Notamacropus eugenii: one gene and its partners. The protein of the gene in region 1 interacts with the protein of each later gene in a pairwise test. Links are inferred from orthologs where the notes say so. Each region holds a gene or a part of one and is shown in the gene's direction. Other genes may lie near its edges.

What was found.
Region 2: the proteins of HNRNPUL1 (region 1) and PRMT2 interact in a two-hybrid assay, tested with the Homo sapiens proteins (2 studies listed by BioGRID and IntAct). The link is inferred for Notamacropus eugenii from reciprocal best matches to the Homo sapiens genes HNRNPUL1 and PRMT2.
Region 3: the proteins of HNRNPUL1 (region 1) and DZIP3 interact in binary tests that used the Homo sapiens proteins (3 or more experiments, as listed by UniProt). The link is inferred for Notamacropus eugenii from reciprocal best matches to the Homo sapiens genes HNRNPUL1 and DZIP3.

Annotation. Positions count from the first base shown.
Region 1 is NC_092876.1:29,911,966-29,919,113, reverse strand, and holds the start of HNRNPUL1 (heterogeneous nuclear ribonucleoprotein U-like protein 1), read left to right. Parts: upstream 1-4,115; 5' UTR 4,116-4,250; coding exon 4,251-4,620; intron 4,621-5,055; coding exon 5,056-5,181; intron 5,182-7,148.
Region 2 is NC_092873.1:68,197,320-68,204,452, forward strand, and holds the start of PRMT2 (protein arginine N-methyltransferase 2), read left to right. Parts: upstream 1-4,046; 5' UTR 4,047-4,157; intron 4,158-4,559; 5' UTR 4,560-4,572; coding exon 4,573-4,641; intron 4,642-6,435; coding exon 6,436-6,531; intron 6,532-7,133. UniProt on the Homo sapiens protein: Arginine methyltransferase that methylates the guanidino nitrogens of arginyl residues in proteins such as STAT3, FBL, histone H4. Acts as a coactivator (with NCOA2) of the androgen receptor (AR)-mediated transactivation.
Region 3 is NC_092876.1:360,263,237-360,270,248, reverse strand, and holds the start of DZIP3 (E3 ubiquitin-protein ligase DZIP3), read left to right. Parts: upstream 1-3,985; 5' UTR 3,986-4,124; intron 4,125-7,012. UniProt on the Homo sapiens protein: E3 Ubiquitin ligase proteins mediate ubiquitination and subsequent proteasomal degradation of target proteins.

The DNA of each region.
Region 1 (7,148 bases):
CTCACCTTTTTGGAAATATCTGGGAATATCATCTCCCTTGTTCTGGACATTCAACATTGCCTAAGATTGAACTAGCTCATTTGATTTGCCTTATCAAGTTGTTGACTTATATTGAGCTTGTGTGCCACTAAGACACCTCCCAGCTCCTTACCCCCAGGTCCTATATCACAGGAAGCTGCTATCCAGCCACATCTCTCTCATCCTGGTACTTGTGAAATTGATTTTTTGAACCCAAGTACAAAACTTTACATTTGTCCCTATAGAAATTCATCTTATTTGATTTGGCCCATGATTCTAGTTCCTTTACATCAATGTAAAATGTCCCATGTCCTGTGTCTAAGGCTATGCCCCTAAGCAGATGTTTGTAATATATTATGTGTGTGTCTTTACTAGTGAATCCAGCTGCTTGCTATGTGTTGCTGTCACTCATTGGTTTGGTGTACTGGGACTAAGCTGTGATTTTATCATGAGTCCAGTTGAATCCATATCATGTTCCTGAGTTTTGATTCTATGGGTACATGGCATTTCTGTTGCATGGCCACTTTGCCAACGTGGCATCTTCATTGATGAATCTTTTTGCGGACACAACTGTAGGTTCAAGTGCCCCCAATTTGTGTGATATGGGAGGGTCAGGATTAGGATTTAGAGAAACAGATTTGTGTGATGGAACTGCAGGATTCAAATCCTACTTCTGTCCCTTTTGACCTGTGTGACCTTGGACAAAAACATCACTTAAAGTCTCTGAGCCTTAGTTTCCTCATCTCTCAAACAAGGGGAATGGCTTTTCAAAGGTAGCTCTACAAACAACCCATTGCTATGTCCTTCCAGTGCTGATCTCAGACAGGACAGTTGTTTTATTGCTTCCCTCCGTGGGTCCACTCTGTACCATGGTTGTAGTGCCATATGTTGTACTGCGGTGCAGTGTGGTGTTGTGTGGCACAGTTATGGTGTTGCGTCATGGTTATGGTTCTAAAGGCCATAGTTGTATTATGTGAAATAGTTGTGCGTGGATGTGCTATGGTGGTAACATGTGCCAGGGTTGTGGCATCATGTGACAGTAAGATTGCTCTATCATACAGCACAGCTGTAGTTTTCTGAAGCATGATGGTAGACTTGCATGACATAGTTGTGGCTGAGTGTGGCTTTGTTGTGGTGCTGTGTGGCACAGTTGTTATGTATCATGACTGTGCAGTTGTATGGTGTTATATGAAATATTCATGGTGATGTATAAGACATCTCAGGACAGTGGATAGAGCGCTGGGCCTGCGGTCAGGAAGACTCATCTTCTGAGTTCAAATCTAGCCTTAGACTCTTTCTAGCTGTGTGACCCTAGGCAAGTCACTTCACCCTGTTTGCCTCAGTTTCCTGATCTGTAAAATATGCTGGAGAAGGAAATGGAAAACTCTCCAGAATCTTGGTCAAGAAAAACCCAAATGGAGTCACAGAGTCAGTCACAATTGAAACAAATGGGATATCTGCCCTCTTGAGTGTAGTGGTAACATCTATTAGGGTTGTGGTTTTAAGTGACGGTGAGATCATTGTGTTATGCAGAATGGTTGTAGTTTTATGAGACATGATTGTGTGACTTTGTTGTGGTGTTGGGTGGCACTGTTGACGTGTATCATGGTTGTGGTGTTACATGGTATTACATGGTGTTGTTGTGTTGTGTGTCACGCTACCGTGGTAAAGTTGAGGTATATGAGATGGTTGTTGTATTTTGTCACACTTCTGATTTTGGATGGCTAGGTTTTGAGGTATGGGACAAGGCTGTTTATATCACAAAGTTGCAGGGCTGTTATCTGTCATGTTATGCTATGGGGATGCTTGTGGTATTGAGCATTTTGGTGTTGTGTACCATCTGTGGTAGCGTGTGGCAAAGTTATTTGGGGGCAGAGTTGTGGTGCTATTGCATGACATGGCGTTGTGTGTCACAGTTGGGTTGTATGCCATGTTTGTGATGTTCCATGTTATGTTGTATATCACAGTTGTGTTAACATTATGTATCATGGTGGAATTATGTCACAGTTATGTTGTCATACATCATTGCTGTGTATTACATGGCATTATAGTTGTGTTGTGTGTTGTGGTTGTAATGCTGTTGTACATCATGACGTTATGCGTCACAGTGGTGATGGTATGTTACAGTGGTGTTGAGTGGTGTGGTTGCAATGCTGTTGCATTGGTGGTGCTGTAGATCACAGGTGTGATATTATTGTGTCATGGTGGTGGTGTTGTCACAGTTGTAATGAATACCGTGATGTTGTGCGTCATGGTTGTGATACTTTTATATGTCATTGTGGTGCTGTTGTGTGGTCATGGTGGTACTTTTGTCACAGTAATGACGTTGCTGTGTATCACGGTGGTGACTGTGTGTATCACGGTTACAATCATGGTGGTGGTATGTCAAGATTATGATGCTGATGCATTCACAATTATGCTGTATGTGATGGTTGTGATCTTGTGTGTCACAGGTGGGGTGTCACAGTTGCAATGCTGTTGTATGTCATGGTGGTGGTATTGTATGTCACAGTTGTGATGTTATTGTGTGTCATGATGTTGTTCTATGTCATGGTTGTGATGATGTTGCATTAACAATTGTGTGTCACAGTTGTCATGGTGTTAGGTTCACAGTTGTGTTATGTGTCACGGTTATGAGGCTACTCTATGTCAAAGCAGTGGTGTTTCATTTCATGGTTGCATGGTTGTGATGCTACTGTGTGTCACAGTGGCAGTGTTGTATGTTGTTGCATTAACAGTTGTGTGTCCTGGCTGTGATGGTGCTGGGTTCCCAGTTGGGTTGTCTTGTGTGTCCCGGTTGTGATGATGCTGCGTTCCCAGTTGTGTTGTGTTGTGTGTCCCAGCTGTGATGGTGCTGGGTTCCCAGTTGTGTTGTGTTGTGTTGTGTGTCACGGGGGCGTGGCCTACCGCACAGAAGCTCACTGAAGCTCCCAGGGCCTGGGCCACTTCCCGGGGGTCTCAGCACGGGGGCGCCCCCCGCCCACCCCTCCAGCCCACTGACGTCACTTCCTCCCGGAAGACTCTATGGTGGCAAGGTCGCGTCATCGCTACGTCAGGCTTCGCCACCATAGAGACGTCGTCGAGGGGAGTGGAGCTGGCTCGGAAACCGCAATCGGGCGCGGATCTCGGCCGCTGTGGGGAGGCGGGGAAAGGCGGCCGGCGGAGCGAACCACTGAGGGGGAGCTTCGTGTGCACCTGCCCCGCCGTCCCGGCCTTCGCCTCCCCGCCCAGGCCTCCCCGCGGCTCCTCGTCGGCACCCTCGCTCGTCCATGGACGCCAACGATTATTTCTCAGGTAAAGCCCGCAGTTTTCGCCACTGTCTGCGCCGCGGCCCAGGATTCCTCCCCCCGCCACCGGCCCGCGCCCGTCATCTGGGATTTAACCAATCCGATCCGCGCTCATTAGCATGCCCCGGCAGTCGAACGCCTCGAATAAATCGGTCGAGCCGATTGGTCCATAGATTAGTGAGGGAGGGTTGGGGTGTGGGGAATTTTTTGGTTTTAATTGTTGCCGACGGTGGTGGTCTTTTTTTTTTTCCCTCGGCTATGCTAGGAAGGTGCAGGCCTCTTAATCAATCAACCTCCTTCCGGGTCCTCAGTGGCTGAAAAGCGCTGTAGGGGGCGGGGCTCCAGGCTCCCCCTCGTCCATTGGCCGGAATGACTTCCCCGGCTTAGCCATTCCCTCCGAGGGGCGGGCGAGTCAGCCAATTGAGACGCGCGTCACTGAAGCCAAGTTGAAAGTTCGAGGGGCAGCTTTGTGGGCGGGGGAGCCGGTAGGCGTTTCGCGAGGCAGGCGCGGATTGGTCGGTAGTGCGACTCCCCGTTCTTATTGACTGCAGGCGGGCGGGCTTAGGCCTATCGGAGTTCGGCCTAACGCCCTTTCCCCTTCCACGCCCTAAGGGGAAAGGGGCCTGAAGGGGGGCGGTGTCGGAAATAGAGGGCGGTATCGAGCGATGTCTGAGGCTCCGATTGGCCGCCGTCTCTCCTCTGCGCGCCGGCTGCCCGGGTCGCGGGCCAATCAGGACGCGCGCCGCGGCGCGCGGGGCGGTGGGGGGGAGGTGGTGGCGGCCATTTTGAGCCGCTACCGCCGTCGCTAGTGCCGTCGTTGCCGCCACAGCCGTCGAAGGCCGTTCCTGGGGCCGAGACCGAGGTCGGGGCTGGGGTCGGGGCTGGGGCCGGGCCAGGCGGAGCGGAGAAGGAGCAGAGAGCGGAGCGGAGCCGAGGCGTCGGGCCATGGACGTGAAGCGGCTGAAGGTGAACGAGCTGCGGGAGGAGCTGCAGCGGCGCGGGCTCGACACGCGCGGCCTCAAGGCGGACCTGGCCGAGCGGCTGCAGGCGGCGCTGGACGAGGCAGCCGCCGCCGAGGCTGAGGCCGAGGCCGCCGCCGCGCCAGAGCCGGAGGCCGAGCCGGAACCGGAGCCAGAGGCCCAGCCCGAGCCGCCCGCGCCAGCCCCCGAGCCGCCGCCGGGACTCCCGTCGGGGCCGCCGCAGGACGGCCAGGAAACCCCCAGGGCCTCGCCTGAGCTCGCGCGCCCCGACGAATCCTGCGAGCCCCTGCCAGCTGCGGAAGAAAGGCCCGGCCCGGAGCCCGCGGGCCCGGAAGGCAAGGAGGGAGCGGGAGGGTGGGGGGCCCGGGCCCGGTGGCCGGAAGCCCGGCCCGGGGCTTCTCGGAGACGTGGGAGCTGTAGCCACGGGCCCGGGCGTTGGCGGCGCTGACCCCGCTCCCCGGCGTGTGTCTGGGGAAGGTGGCGCAGGTGGTGGGCGGTACGGAGTGGATCTGTTTAGGGGTGGGGACAGAAGGTCGGCCAGGCTGGAGAAGTCAGGGCTTCCTGCTTCCGCTGTGGTGACTAGTCCTGGAGCCCGGCCCGCGGCCGCGTGCGTGGAGCGGGGCTCGCCCAAGGTGTCGCGGAGATGCTTGTCTTAATCTTGGCCGTGGATAATTTGGGGGGCCGGGTCGGATGGCGGCAGAACCAGTTTATAGGTTCCGTGGCCTCTGGAACCTCTGCCCCTAACCCGCCCGCCCCCCTTCTGATCGTAGATGTCACTGGCAGCGCTGCGGAACAGAATCAGTTTTATGAGACCACAAATGTTCATCAGGAGAAGAAAACTGGTTATGAGAGTAAGCCTCCCGAGCTGGAGCTGGAGCAGCCGCTGACCTATCCAGGTGAGGGGCTGGGCAGTCTGAGGACCTGCGTGTGGCGTTTACCGGGGTTTGGTCGTTGGGTGGCTACTGCAGACTGCCAGCGGGGCAAGGTACCGCCGTATGGTTTGGCATCTGGGTGCCACGTTTTAGGAACGACTTTGACAGACTGAAGTGTCCAAAAGAGGGAGGTGACCATGCTGTTTGCAGACCAGTTCAAGGACTGTCTGGAGAAGAAATCTAGGGCAGCTTCAGCTTGCCATCTTTTAGTGTTTTAGAGACCTTCAAGTTAGACTTGTTCTGCTTAGACTGAACTAGTTGCTGTGGGTAGAAATTCACAGAGAGACAGGTTTCAGCTTGGTATCCAGTAAAATTTCTTCACATTCAAAGCAATCCCAAAACAGTGAACCGCCGTTTCCCACCACCAGAACACATCATCTCAGCGCCACTTCTCTAGGCAGCTCCGCAGGGCTGAGAAGGAGGGAATAGAACGGTTTCAGCACAATCTGACCAGTGGCCAGGCACCGAGTGAGGGGTGACTGTGAAGGATATTTTTAAAAACCTCCCTGGCTTCGGATCTGTTGTTTGAGAATCAACAGACTACAAGTGACTTACAGACACAAATCTTTCTATGTTCCCCTCTATACAAGTAGGAGGCACTTGGTAACAAGATCTCAGTTGGACAGAACCTGTCCCTCAAAGACAGGCAGTGTGCCATTTGGGCCCAAGTTGCCATGTCCAGTAGGGGTCAAAAAAGACTAAAATGACTTGTGCCCTGAAGTACTTAGATCAGGCCACGAGTATCTAAGAGGCATTGTTGTACTGGGCATTGGGGAAGGGCAAAACCGTCCCTACACACAAGGACTCTGGGTTCTAAGGAGGGAAACAACAAGGACCTAGAGCAACACATACGTTACAGATACAAAGAGAACAAACACAAATACATACCAGGTAGTTTGAGAGGGAGGAACCTCAAGATTCTGCAGATGAAGACCATGGTAATTGAACTGTGTCTTAAAGGAGGTCTTGAGGGGGCACTATTGAGAACAGAGCACCAGGCCTGGAGTCAGGAAGACCTGAGTTCAAATCTGGCCTCAGTCATTCACTAGCTATGTGACCCTGAGCAAGTCACTTAACTCAGTTTGCCTTAATCCATTGGAAAAGGAAATGGAAACCACACCAGAATCTTTGCCAAGAAAAGAGTCAGAAGCAAGTGAACTACACAGCAGTCTTAAAGGAAGGGCAGCACTGTGATTGGATTAGTGTGGGCATCCCAGAAGTCCTCTCTAAAGAACTTCGTCATGCTGGGTACCTTCTCTTGTGGAGTCTAATATGTTGATGAATCAGGGATTATTGGAGCTGACAGGTCCCTTAGAGATCATCAAGGCCAACTTCTTCCTCTTGCAGGAGAGAAAAGTCAAGCAGTTTGCTCCCAGCCCCAAAGGTAAGAAGGAACAGAGAAGGGCTAGCAGCCCCGCTATGAGGTCTCTCAGTGGTTCACTGATTATCTTGGGGATATCTGTGCAACAGTCCAGGGATCATATGCTTTCTCTTGCTTGAGGTGACTGATCAAGGCCTCCTTTCCCAGTCATGTGTGTCCTTGAAAGTATCTAGCGCCACTTAGCATACCCAGGTCCTCTGTGGTAGTAAACATACTATAGTCTGATCGTACTCTTGCTCTTTGGGCCCCCAGCAGTTTTGATCCTTCTAAGATGACTCTGTTGTGTAATCCCCAGCCCTGGGGTATCAGCAAGAGAATTGATGTTAAGTAGATGATGAACTTTGGTGACTGAGCAGTTTGGAATCCTTCAAAAAGCTCCACATGGCCTAAACGTTGAACCACCTTCCTGTCTTATCTTCAGTTCTGGACTGGGCTTATCGTCCATGTGCAGCACCTTTCTACTTTGTGATTTGTTTTGATCCAAGATGGGGCTGCTGAAAAAATCTTCTAGTCCAGAAGTATCAGATTCAAAGCCCACGACACTCCTGAG
Region 2 (7,133 bases), on another chromosome or scaffold:
AGGCTGTAATGACAAACACTAAATTAAACACTTCTTTGGGGACTAGGAGAAGACTGCATGGGGACTGCTAGGTCCATACAGTACAGGAAAGTGGTCTTGAATTTGACTCCTTTAGGTAAAGCCTGAGTCACTGACGACTACAAGTCTGGTGTGAGCCAGAAGGACACAAGATGCTGGAGAAGGAGCTATAAAAGAAACGAGAGGGCAGGAGAATCACAAGAAGCCAGGGACAGAAGCTACAGAACATTTATGGCAGAGACAGCCCACTTTCAGCTGCTTTTCTGGAACTTGCTTATTGGGAAAGAGACTTGGCTTTGCTGACTAGCTGGAGAAAGGCCGGGAGGCTGAAAGCCAGGAGCCAAATCCTGCTGCCTAAGGGAGCTGTCTGGGCTTGTTGCTCTCTGCTGCCATCTACTGCTGAGAGAGGGCAAAGGTGCCAGGCTTGTGTTGTCCTCTATTGGCTGTGTCTGTTCTGAGGGTGTGTGGGGTTTCTCCTTCGTTCCGAGAGAGGACCATGATTTCAGGGTGATAATGATATGATTCACAGTTGACTTTGATTTGAGGGAGGGAGGGCTGTGCAAGGTCACCAGCCTCACTATCTCCTCCAGAGGCATCTGGGTCCAGTAACCTGATATTTATCCATCAGGATGAGGGGAGATGGCCCAGGATGCAGTGGGAGACCCTGACCCTTTTAGGCTAAGGCCTTTTCAGGTTCTCATTTTGAGTGAGGCCACACCCATTCAATGAACAGGCCTTTTTAAGAAGTGAGTCAAGGGATCATCCCTTTAAGAAGAAGGGATGGGGAACTGGGAGGGGAAGACTGTCCGGGTTGCTGGACAAAAGAAAAACAGTTACTACTGACATTCCCTCTGAGCCAGGAGGGCCCAAAAAGAACCATTAAGTGGTGCTTGGGCAGGGACCTATTGTTGAGGAACAGAAGGATGGTGAGGTTTTGCATTTGTAAGCTATGATTTAATGTGAGAAGGCTGCCATTCGCAGGTCTGCTGAAGTTGGCAGCTGTTTGCCTTAAGGGAACTGCCTGTCACTGAAAGAACACAATACTGTCCCTCCTCAGCATCCTACTAAGGTTGCTCAGAGCAAAACAGGGTTGGCAGAGATACTGGAAGGGTCTGTCATATCCTTCTCCTACTCATTTTACAGATGAAGAAACTGAGGCAAACAGAGTTAAGGGACTTGCCCAGGGTCACCAGATTAGAACTCCGGCAGATGAGTCTGCCTGACTCCAGGTCCAGCTCTCTACGCACTATGGTGCCACCTGGTATTAAATGAGAATTGTCCTTAAGGTTCAATTGCATCTATTACCTAGTTCTAAACAATGTTTATCTGACCTTTGAAAAGAAAGGATCTTTTTGGTGACTCAGGGTCAACAATCAGCTCATTTGAAAATCCACCAGACAGAGAAACAGTAAGCAAGGTGGAGGACATGTATAAATCTGAAAACAGCCTTAATATTGCAATGAGAAGAAACAGAAGGTTTGTTTCTGCAGAACATTTGGGATGTTTCAGGATAGTTTATAATGCTCATGCCCAGTGACCATGGAATCCACACAGCCTCACTTTTGTGCTGAAAGCAAGCAGCTATTTGTACCATCTTGGCCACATGACTGGAAGGGAACAGAGGAAGCTACTCTGGGGCACTGTGCAGAATGCACATGTATCCTCTCACTGAGGAGCAGTTTGCCTTTGAATATGGAATCCTTGTGGCAGTTTGGAAAAAATTTGATGATACTTGAAAAATTGCAAGAACATTGTGCTTCAGCAGAAAGTGCTAGAATGTCCAATTCATGATGTGCCTGATTATGGCTGTGTTAAATCACTTCAGAAACAAACCTATGGGCAGGTAGTAGAGGAAAGACCTACTTGTAACCTAAGTGGGCAGCTCATTGCTTAAAGCACTATGAAAGACTCCCTAATGCAAACTCCTTGGATTATCACCACAAATGAAGACAAAGCCAATGATTCCGAGAACCACTGAACAGGAATCCTGACTAGAACCCTACCTCTGTCAATTTGTGAAGAGTATTTAAAAGCTGGAGAAGCAAAGAAAGAACTTGCACTCAGATCATGCCTTAAGGATGTGTATGGAGCCACTAGGTGGAACTACAGCAGATCAAGCACCAGGCCTGAAGTCAGGAAGGCTTCTCCTCTGAGTTCAAATCCAGCCTCAGACACTTACTAGCCTAATGACCTTAGGCAAGTCACTTCACCTGGTTTGTCTCAGTTTCTTCATCTGTAAAATGAGCTGGAGAAGGAAATGGAAAGTGGCTCTAGCATCTCTGCCAAGAAAACCCCAAATGGGATCATGAAGAGTCAGACTTAGTAAATCATTTAATACAGAACTTGTCATTAACCAATAGAAAAGTATCATGACTGGCCATTCATTTTTTATCATGTTATCATTATCATTACTTAAGCAGTTAGAAATTTTAAAAAATGCATTTACAATGTTCAAAGAGCTTGTGTAATTCTTCTAGAATTTTCTACCACATATTTGTGTGAACAAGCATTTTTTCACTTTATATCAAAATAGAGAAAAAAACTTGATGCAGTACCAGATTTAAGACTATTTGTCTGGTATTAAGCAAAATGTCGCAAACATCTACTCCAATAAAAAAATGCAACATCAAAATAGTTTATACGTGATTATGATATTATGCTAACATCTTCCCACTTATAAATTATTTCATTTAAATGTTTTATTTGACAAAATTTGCCAAACAAAATAATTTAATATGAAGTCTTACAGATAATAGTGAGCATATGAGATCTTAGATTATTTCTTTTCATTCTTACAGAATGTCCCACAAAAAAATCCATAACTATTTTAGTTAAGTTTTATAATTTTGTATTGTTTTCATAACTGTAGGTAGAATAAACTTTTTTGTGATTACCGTTACATAATGCAAATTTTAGTTTGTGTTTTGGGGGGCAAAAGCAATCAATATCGCTATTCTAAGCTCTTGATGAAGAAATGTAAATGTGCATTATGTGGTGTGGTATATTAAATTACCTTGCGGGTTCACCTCCTAGCTACGGAAGGAGTCTGGTTTCTTCCCGGCTCGTATAACCACATGAATGCAGTGTTCGCACACGCGCACACGCAGATCTAGGCTGGAAGGTACTTTACATGTTACCAAGACTGCTACAGTAGCGCTCGTGTAACCGCATGAATGCAGTGTTCGCACACGCACACACGCAGATCTAGGCTGGAAGGTACTTTACATGTTACCAAGATTGCTACAGTAGCGCTCGTATAACCGCATGAATGCAGTGTTCGCACACCCACACACGCAGATCTAGGTAGGAAGGTACTTTACACGTTACCAAGATTGCTACAGTAGCGCTCGTGTAACCGCATGAATGCAGTGTTCGCACACGCAGATCTAGGCTGGAAGATACTTTACATGTTACCGAGATTGCTACAGTAGCGCTCCGATTTTACAGGGGACTTACTGAGGGTACAGGGGGCGGGCCTCTGGGTGCCCGAGCGCCAGGCACTGAGCTGCCTTGGGGGTCTGTCTCTGGGTGTGTATATAAATGTGTGTACATACAGAGGCCCGATCCGCAGCTTTGGGGTCCCTCTTCGATCCTTGGCCCGCAGGCTGTCCCCACCCAGGGTCTCCTTTTACACCTGAGGAAACTGAGGCACGGAGCCTGGCAGCCCTGCCAAGGTCTACCTTGGGCGGGGAGGTAGAAGGGGGCTTTGGACTGCCTCGGTTTCCCTGCCTGTCATGCTAAGGGCACCCCTCCCCCCGGGCCGCTGCCTGCAGCAAGTAGCCCGGCACGCCCATCCCGAGTTAGAGAGGAAACAGACGCAGCCTCCACCTCCCCGGAAAGAGGCAAGAGGAAGAGCCGCCCCTCACACGCACGCACAGATCTCCCAGGAGGAGGAGCTACTCCCAGCCACCCCAGAGACCCGGAAGCGATGGAAGGATATGCGCACGCGCCCTAAGACTTTGAGTCATGTGGGTAACTCCTAGGCGCTGGGGGAATAGGGAGGGTGGGGTGAGGGAGTGGGTGGAGTCTCTCCGAGGCCCCGCCCCTGACCCGGTCGCGCTTGCGCAATTGCCCCTGACGCTCAGGCCGGCACCCGCCGAGGCCGGTCAGGCAGTTGCTTCCTTTTCAAAAACTCCTCGGTAAGATGGGGAGGGGACTGCGCGGGGCCACGCCTGAGCTACCTCAGTTTCCCCACCTGTGATGGGAGTGGGTCTGGAGAGAGGGCAGAAGAAGCTGGGGCGAGGCCGCTGGAGCTGCCTCAGTTTTCTCATTTGTCAAATGTGCAAGGGCGGGCCCCGTCCCTCCCCCGATGCCCCGCCCCAGGCCCTGATTCAGGTGACCCTGGGTACCTGGCAGCTGTGCCAGAAGGATGCCCCAGCAGTGACTGGTGGGCGCAGCAGCAGATGTGCCCTCCTCGGGGAGGAGCTCGTGCAGATGGGCTTTTTCCTCGCTCTGCGTTGTGGGAGGGGGGGATTCATTGGGGGTCGGGCTTGGGACAGAAGGATAGTTAACCATCGGTGCGTTCTCTCTTGTGACAATAGAAACCAAGGGAAGATGAAGCCAGAGGAGCAAGAGCCCGACCCCATGGCCCCTCCCCATGGCACTGCCCACGGGGAGGTGCAGGTAATGTGGGAGCTTGGGTGTCTGGGGCAGGGTGAGCAGGGAGGCCACCCTGGTGAGCTCTGAGACTTAGCCCACAGTGGTCGCATTGATGACTCTCCACATAGGCTGGAAAGGCAAGATGGCCCTTGGCCCCATGGCGCTGCCCCTGGGGAGGCGCAGGTAATGTGGGAGCTTGACCCTCCACATAGGCTGGAAAGGCCCCAAGCTGGTGCCCATGGGGCACCAGCTCTGTCAGGGCCTGCTATGCTGGAAAGGCTTTGCAGGCAGACTCCGTGAGGAAGTGGGCATTGGCCATAGAGGGGCTGGGGGAGGCCACACTGAAGACTGCCAGTGTCTTAGAAGTCTGTAGGCAGAGGCAGGCACAGAGTCAGACAGACCTACACAGTGGGAGCTCTTTGTGTTTACATATCACTTGTGGAAGATGTGCATGAGTACCCTCCTTGAAGCTTAAAGGTTACAGGAAAGCCCAGATTTACCCCCAGGCCCCCAAAATGATCAGTTGAGGAGGGGGAATTTTTGTTTGTTTTGCTTTACCAAAAATGCTTTCCAAGTTGTTTCCTCCTGGGAGAAAGCTTCCTTGCCTCCTGGGATAAGGGATTCCATTTGCAAAAACTAAACATAGTAGGACCCCATCTGATTCAGAGCTAACAATTCTGTGGTGCTTTGAAATTTACAAAGAGTCTTACGTACAAGGACTCAGTGACACACCATTATTATCCCCATTTCACAGATGAGGAAACTGAGAATGGTTAAGCATTTTCCTAAGGCCACGTGACCAGTGTCAGGAGGAAGGATTTGAGTTTCCTGACTCCCAGTCCAGCATTTGGCTGCAACACTGTGCTGGCATTTAGATGGCATCATGGCCTGCATTTCTGGGGCGGCTCATTTGGGACGAGAATAAGGATGTAGTCAGATCAACTTCAGCCAAGAAACAAGTCCAGGACAGTGCATCTTGAGAGGCCTCTCCCCCAATCTCATGGCTAGCTGGGCAGGCAGGCTGTTGGTATTTGGAAGACTGAGGCAGTAGGCAAGGCAAGGCTGCCTCCCAGAGGCCCTTGAACTGGGCTGGACAGGAAGGAGGTAGGAGAGAAGGCAAGGTCGCAGAGGGGGAGGAAACCTGAGAGCTGGGACGCATCTGTGCCCACCCACATTGGTGACCACGTCACATTGTGAGGGATGGTAGGAGTGGGAGCCTCCTTCAGAAGTCAGTCCCTGGGTAAGAAGATGGATTAAAGTTGATCAAGTCCCTGAAGATAGGCCCTCTGGCAGCCTCTTAGCTCAGAGTGGATCAGACCGTTTGGTCAGCTTACAGGGTTACAGCAAGTGGACTGTCCACATCCATTGCATCCTACCGAAGTTATGCTGGAGCAGACAACCCATTCACCAGTGGAGGTGAAACAGAGGCCTTGGGCTTCCTTGAGGCCAATGGAAGCCTGTTCTCAGCAAACCTAGTGCCTTAGTCCAGCCTGCTGTCATCTGAGGCCCCTGCAGGAGCCCCCCTCAGCCTGAAGGCTTTGCAGGGGAAGCAATCAGTCTGCCCCACAAGACAAATGAAGAGGCATGTCTGGAAATGGTGCCACCTGCTGCCAGTACTTGTTCATGAGCTGTGCTGAGGCAGGATGGGTCCCTGAGTGCCTGGCGCCTGTCACTTAAACACCACCTGGATGCTCGTGGCAAGATGGGGCAACAGTGACCATCGGTTGACTGTGGCCTTTATTGAGATACACAAGGGGATGAACTATTTGCCCAGGCATTCTATCCCAGCCCCCATCTTATTTCCTTGATTTTGTGCAGAAAGTGAGAGAAACCAAAGAACAGAATGACGCAGAGAACTCAGAGCCCGAAGAGCTTGTGGCTATCGCAGATTACGCAGCAACGAATGAAACACAGGTAAGAATGGGCAAGGCCAGGTGTGACATCAGCCCAGTGTTCTGTGTGTTCCTGAGGAGGTGGTGGGGATGCCCTGTGACAGGTCTGTGAGGGCTGGGGGGGACATCTGGTAGGACTGTGGGGGGTGCAGGAGAGAGGAGGGACCTGGAGCAGAGACAGGGAGGAGTTACCCTCAATTTCTTTTGAGCTTGAGCCAGAATGACTGTTTAGGGGCCCAGTCTGTAGATTCTAGGCTGTGAGCAGAAGCTAATCGTGATTTGATATAGAACAACACACAGACACACACATGTGTGTCCTGTTTGTCTGTCCCTGGTTCCCCCTCTGGAGGAGTCCTCTCTTTATTGGGTTAAGCTGGTCAGACATTGGCACTTCTTTCCAATACTGACCTGACCGACAAGCAGAACAGAATGCAAGCAGAACACAGTGGGGGGGGTTGGGGCAGAAGGGCCCCACAGGCCTCAGGAGGGAGGCCCAACTCTCTTAGAGGAATCAAGGCCTGGGACAGAGGACACACTCAGAGTCTTGAGGGGCCAGACTTGTTCCATTCTCCTCACCAGCTCTTGACCCTGACCAGCCACCTGGGCATTGCAGATGGGCAGCCC
Region 3 (7,012 bases), about 330 Mb from region 1:
TAGGGTAAGAATTCCTGCTTTAGAGAGTTTTTATGTATTGTTATATGTCTTGTGATACAACCAACTTTGTTTCTGAGTCCATTTTTTATGCTTATTCCCTGTCTGTTTTTTCTTAGGGTGTTTTCACTTTTTTTTCCAATTCATAACATATATCATGTTAGAGTTTTCCTGTTTGCTCATTTCTTTGACTGATCCTTTTCCTTTTCTGAAAAGTTGGCTTTTTCCTCTCTTTTTTGGGAGCTCCATTTTACTTTTCAGGGGCATTTCTTCATCTCTTCTTTTAGAGGTTATTGAGGCAATAAACTCCTTTATGATTCCTGACTGACTTTTTGTTGGAAGTGTTCCAAGTTGCAGATTTCCAACTTAAATTTGTAGCGAGTCAGAGTTTATCTTTTTAATATATTATAAATACATGCCAAGTAGCTAGTCATATTCAATCTAAAAGATAGTTGAGCAAAAAGGAAATTTGAATAATAGCCTTCAAAGGATTACAAAGCTAATTGAAAGGAGTCTTACAAATACAAGTCAAGGGAATGGTAACTAGGAACCAGAGTGTAAAAGATGAATTCAGGATTAGACTAGATAGAATCAGATGGAATTTAACAGGAACAAATAATTAAATCTTACACTAGTTCAAAAAGTCATCTTGATGTGTTACAAGATGGAGGGAGGTATAGAGAGAGAACAGTTCTTCATTTCAAAAAACATCTAGGGGTTTTAGAAAACTTTGGACTCAGTAATATCTCAACAGTGTGATATGCCAACCAAGAAAGGCAATTATATTTTTTAAGTGGCATTAGAGTACAGTAATTAAGAATTGATAGACTCACTGTATTCTGCTTTGGGAGGATCATTTGTATTGTGTTCTGTTCTGGCTGCCCCATTTTGAGGATTGATCAAAGGACCATCGATGATTAACTTGAGGTTAACGGGATAAAACCATTGTTTGAGATTTTGATTATGTGCTGAAAGACTGCAGCTCTCGGATAGGTTTGAACATGCCTAAAGAGTTATTAAGTCTCTCTATACTTCATGTCTTCATGGATTGAATAGATGTGAAGAACTTTGTTAGCATCTCCCTATGGAAGACCTGGGTATATGCAATGATACCTTATTGAGATAACTGAGGACATTTAGTTAATAGATATTGAGAGTAATCCACTTATACCTCATTGAGCATCAGTGATTGAGTTTCAGCGTTAGGAGTAATTTGATTGGCTCAGGCTACTGCAGATTAGAGTCTATTAAATCTAAATTTCCTAAAATTTTATTAAGGGATTTAACTTTTTTCTTTTTTAAAAATAGGTCTGAAAGTTGAGATCTTCCAGTCTTTTACTATTTATATCTCCCTGTAACTTACTTAGCCTTTCATTTAAATATATAGATGAAATGTTATTCAGTACATATATATTAAGTATTGAAATGAATTGTCTATGGTAACTTTAAGCATATATAGTTTCCCTGTTTATTTTTAGTCAAATCAATTTTTATGTTGTCCTGTCAGAGATTGCTTCAAATGAAGCATGAAATTTTGTTCCATTCCCTTATATTAACTCCTTATGAATCTTTATGATTCCAGTGTATCTCTTGAAAACAACATATTATTAGATTCTACTTTCTAATTCATTTTGATATCCTCTTCTGTTTTATGGATGAGTTCATTACATTCACATTCAAAGTTATGATAGTTGTATATTTCCTTCCATTCTATCATTTTATAATTTTTTCATTCTTTTCTTTCTGCCACCTTTTACAAAGAAGCGAGCAGTGAGGGAGAACGATTGTGCATAGACCAGTACTCTATGCTTTTGTGCTCCTGTCTCTTTTTCTCAGTCTGCTTGACCAGATCTCAATCATATCTCTTCTTTCTTTCCATTTAAACTCTTCTTGATATCTCTTCTTGAGGTTAGAGTTTGTTTTGCTTATAAATAATTCTTTCCAACAACTACTCTCTCACTCTCATTATCCTCACCCCACTCCTCCTCATTCCTTGTTTCCCTGTTGTGTTGAATGTATTTCTACACCAAACTCTTCCCTGGTGTATTACTTTTTCTGTTCCTTTACTTATTTTTCTTTTAAGATCATTAAAACACAACACCACTCCCGTATTTCCTTCATAGTTCTCACTTCTTTTCCAATACTTTCCTCTCACACACTTACTTTATAAGATCATTTTAAAACTCTAAAAAAAAACAAAAACAAAAAACCCCAACCTTTGTTTCATTTCTTCCAGCAATTCCAGTTGCCTTTGTGGCCAAACTATGTTTTTCTATGAGACCTTGCCTGTAGGCATTTTGGAGTAATTTTCCTCTTCCTGCTTTAGTTTGCTGTTCCTGGCATGATGCATCTTTTTTAGTGAGAGTCTTTTTTTTCTTTACTCATTCTTCTAACCTTACTTCCCAGATTGGAACTTTGTATTAAAACCAGTCTCTCCATAGTTTTGGAGGGAATGCTGGAACCGTGTTTGGCCATTTTTTTTTTGTTGTTCTCTGGGGTCCTACTACTTCTATCCTTAGATAATGAATGTATTCTTTAAGGCTCCCAGGGGGACATACAAATTTTCAGTGTGCTCTAAGTTATCTCATCTAGTGTAAAGTCTGGTCAGTACCCATCTGGTCTGAGCTTTACAAGTTCCTGATCATGGTTTGAGTCGGGGCAGCAAAATCATAGGTTTGCCTCTGGTTGGACCTCTAGTATACTGCTGCTACACCTAGGCTCCATCAGCTAGTTGCGTAACTGCAGATTCAAAGAGACAGCACTTCAGTGTCCTCTTTAGTCTGAACTCCCTGCCTTTTGATACTCAGCTTAAAGCCTTAGGCACCTGCTTCAGCTACTTTCAAGGCTATTGGAACAAATTGTTCTTGTCCATCCATTCCAGTGGGGGAAGACTTCACATGCTTGGAATAGACAAGCCCCTAACTCACTGACAGATTTGAGGCCTGTCAGTTACCCTCAACCTGGTTTAGCCTGTCTGCTGAGATGGTTTACTGGTTTACTGGAGTGTGGCTACACATGCTACAACTTCTTGGAGCCACAGGTGAGAACTGAGTGCCAGGTAGACACCAAAGGTGGATGAGCTGCCCTTGAAAAGGTCCACAAATTCCTTACACCAGGGGTGCTAATCCTCCTTGAAAACCTCATACACCCATGGGATGGGGAGCAGGTATGAATAAAAGATAAGTTTCAGCTGAAGACAAAATCTAAAAGCAGAGAGGCATTCCATAAATTATTGCCAGAAATCTACACATGCAGGGCGATTATCAGTGATCTACAGAGACTTCATGCTCTGCAAGGTCAGTAAGAGGTAGGCCTGTCAGAACAGTGATGAAATCAGCATTATATAAATTCTTACTATTAATGTTATTATTTTTATTGTTATTAACAGTGACCTTTCATTAATGTATAAGTTGTGAGTTGCCCTTCCATTCCAGAGCACCAGGCATGGCCCTATGTGTGACTCTCCACATGTGGTACCTTTGTTGTGTTCACTCTTTACATTAGTAGTGTCTATATCTAAAGAAGAGTAGATCCCAGATTTATAGGGAAATGTATTGCTTTTCTTACTTTACTGTTTCATAAAATACCTTTGATTTGAATTAAATGTGTCTTCTTGTTGACTAGTAAAGGTGAGACTATCAGGAAGAGCATTTTGTGAACTCCCATTTGGAGTGGCTTTGAAATCACCAAGTATCTTGAAATTGGTGTAACCTTGTCTGGTGGAATCCATTCTGAGAGTAGGGTTTGGTGGTGGTGCCCCCAGGCGTTACAGATAAAATCAACTCAGTGCAGTTTACTGTGGCCAGGTAGGTAAAGGTGTATGCAGATTCTGTTTTTAAAAAACAAACAACAGCTACAAAAAACTACCAAGGGACTTTAGGCTGCCCTCAGATGACACATTTGTAACAAGCCTGAATGTGAGAGCACAGGTTGCTGGGAAGGGGCGGGTCCCTCAAGTTCCAGGAAGGAGGGCTCAGTTAATAAGACCAAATGAGTTGGTTTCAGTTTCATACTAGCTGGAAAACTTTGTCCCTGCCGGTGTGACCACAGCAGAGAAGCCCAGATTCACCCACCTCTTGTCCCTACCTAAGAATTTTAAAGACCTTCTCTCATTCTATCCTAGGACGGTAAGCACGTTTTGTGATTTTAAGTGAACCCTGTTAAAATATTTGTCTAATTAATTCCTGCCAGTTACTAGGAACACAACCCCCATGCGGCGGCTGCTACTGCTGCCAAACACTTCTGGTCCTAATTCTGGGCTTCTGAAGCTGTGACAGATCTGTATTCTGTAGTGAATGATAGAAAAGGGGGCTTGGGGAGGAATGGAGTTTCCCCTAGAGCCCTTTTCACTGGATATCTATTTAAGCAGCCTAAAAAAAATACACCCATACTAATCTTAATCCCTCGTTCAATCATTGCACAGCCTACTTTATTTAGTACGTTCATTCATTTTCCTACCCTTTTAAAATTCAGTCCAATACTTTGAGTATATGGGGGGAGGGGAGGAGGCGATTAGGGGTAACCTCTATTTCCTACTATAGTTTGGAAACTGCCTTTTTTTTTGAAGACACTGATTCTCGCCTTGTAAACACCCTCCCCCCCCTCCAATATTTCCTCAATATTCCTTCCTTCTGTTTACAACTTGCTGGGGCCTGTCATGAATAGCAGCAGACTGAGAGCTTTAAAAGGGGAAAGCTTTAACCTACACTTAAAAAATTTTAGGAAATGAGCTAGCTGCTTTTTTGCATATTGAAGCCATAATACTTGTCCCTGGTCAGCAATTGATTAATGAGTGAGTCTAACAGCACTGCAGGGACTCTGGTTCTTAATGTCGTTTGGGAAATCCAAGGGAATGGCAATAAGTCTCAAGGAAAACATTTTCATCACATGATCATGATTAATCCTTAGGGCTTGTGTCCGTGCCTTACCTGACTTCATGAATGAGTTAAAACACAGAGAACAAGTTCATCCCTCCTCCCCAACCTCACATAGACTTTCTGCCTACACCCAGAAATAAAGGCAGGGGAAAACCCTGCAAACTTGCTTTACACACACACACACACACACACACACACACGCACGCACACACATGCACACACGCACACACGAAATTCTAAATGGGTAAGTGATGAAAGCAAGAAGTATTTCAGTCTGGGGTGAAGAGGAAGATGGGAGTTCTTTGAAGACTTTCAGTTTCAAATAGGTAGGACACCTGCAGAAAAGTGTGCTTGGGGGTGGGGGTAGGGCAGGAAAAGAGAGATTGGCAGATGACATTACACTGCCTGAGAATTCGCCAGTCCTGCAGATTTCAGTATGTGATACCGAACAGGTATAAAGTCAAATATTCAGACTTTTCCAGGAGGCAAACTTTACTGTATGCACAGATTAGTAATGAATCCCTACATCCAGTAGGGATGCTTTGCTTATGCATTCATTTGTGAAAAATGGTCCCCACAGCAATACAGAACTTCATGCCAGTGTAGTTCTTTCTTTCATGTGTTCCTCCCACAATGCCAGCACACTGTTTGGTGACTGCAGATGTCTTGAGTTCAGGCCTCACAGTTACCATTTGTACATTATTTCAGGGACAAGTCAAAGATGCAGAATAGTTACAGATCAGCAGTGAGTGACGGGGTGTTCTCATTGGGAAATGAGATAGTCCTAACTCCCTCTCCCCTAGACTTGAGAGTAAGACCACCATGTTTAATATTATTTACATGAAAAAAAAAAGTTTTCAGAGTTCCAGACAGTTGATTAATAAATCAACCTTTGTTCTGGAACACAACTTTATAAATTGATTATTCATGTACCTAAGTACCTTGCAGGCAAAACTTACAAGAAGTTCTGCAGGTATAACTTGAAGACAGATGCTATCTCACAACTTTAAGAGAACATGGAACCTTTCTGAAGTAAAAAATCTGTCTGGCCTCAATGGTAGAACCTGGAAATAATAAACCAGTCTGCCCTCTTGACATCTAGGCACCCTGGGACAAGTGTTTAGTTGTTTTTTCCTGTCTGTGAGCCCAGTGAGAGTTTTCTTGGCAGAGATACTGGACTGCTTTGCCATTCCCTTCTCTAGCTCATTTTACAGATGAGGAAACTGAGTTAAGCAGGTTTAAGTGACTTGCCTAAAAGTTCCATAGTTAGTAAGTATTTGAATCTGGATTTCAACTCAGGTCTTCTGGCACTAGTGCTCTATTTACTTCACCACCAACTTATGCCTTCTAACTACTTTTCTTCACCCCTAAGACCTTCCCTACTGTGCCACTTTTCCCTGGGTAGGACAGGTAGGGGAGGTACTGTGACAGAAATTAGTGTATATACAGGTAACTTGCCTTGAGTGCAAGGAATTTAGTGGATCTTGGGCTAGAAGGCACTCATCTTGTAGGTGAGTAGAAGCAGGCTTGAGAGTGAGACCATCATATTTAATATTGTCTACATGAGAAAAACACTTTTCAGAGTTCCAAACAGTTGACTTGTCAATCAATTCTTTGCATTCATTGCCGTTAGCAGATAATAAAAAAATTAATGCTACTTATGCCATTCAAGGAAAAGAGATACTTTATGCTCTGCTTTCTTTTTTATCTTAATTACTTTACTACACATTTCTTACTATCCTGCTGGCAATAAAAATTTTGAACCACAGACTTATTGTTCGGTTCCATATAGGCTACCATCTCTTCAACTTCATAGTGTCATACTCTTTAAAAAAAAAAAAAAACTTGTTAAAAAAAGATTTAAATTAAGTTCATTGGATTAGGGATCCCAGAGACCATATCATTTTACAAATAACTTGCCTAAGGTCACACAGATAGGATTTGAACCCAGGTCTTCTTAATTAGGAATGAGTGTTTTCTTCATTATACTTATGCTGCTGCCTAAAAAGCAACAAAACGAAACAAAACACAATTTTTAACAGAAGCATTGAAAGTTAACATGAGTATCATTTCATGTTCAATGATCCCAGAGTTCCTAGTCCATTGAATTGATGATATAGGTCATTCAGATATGTTGT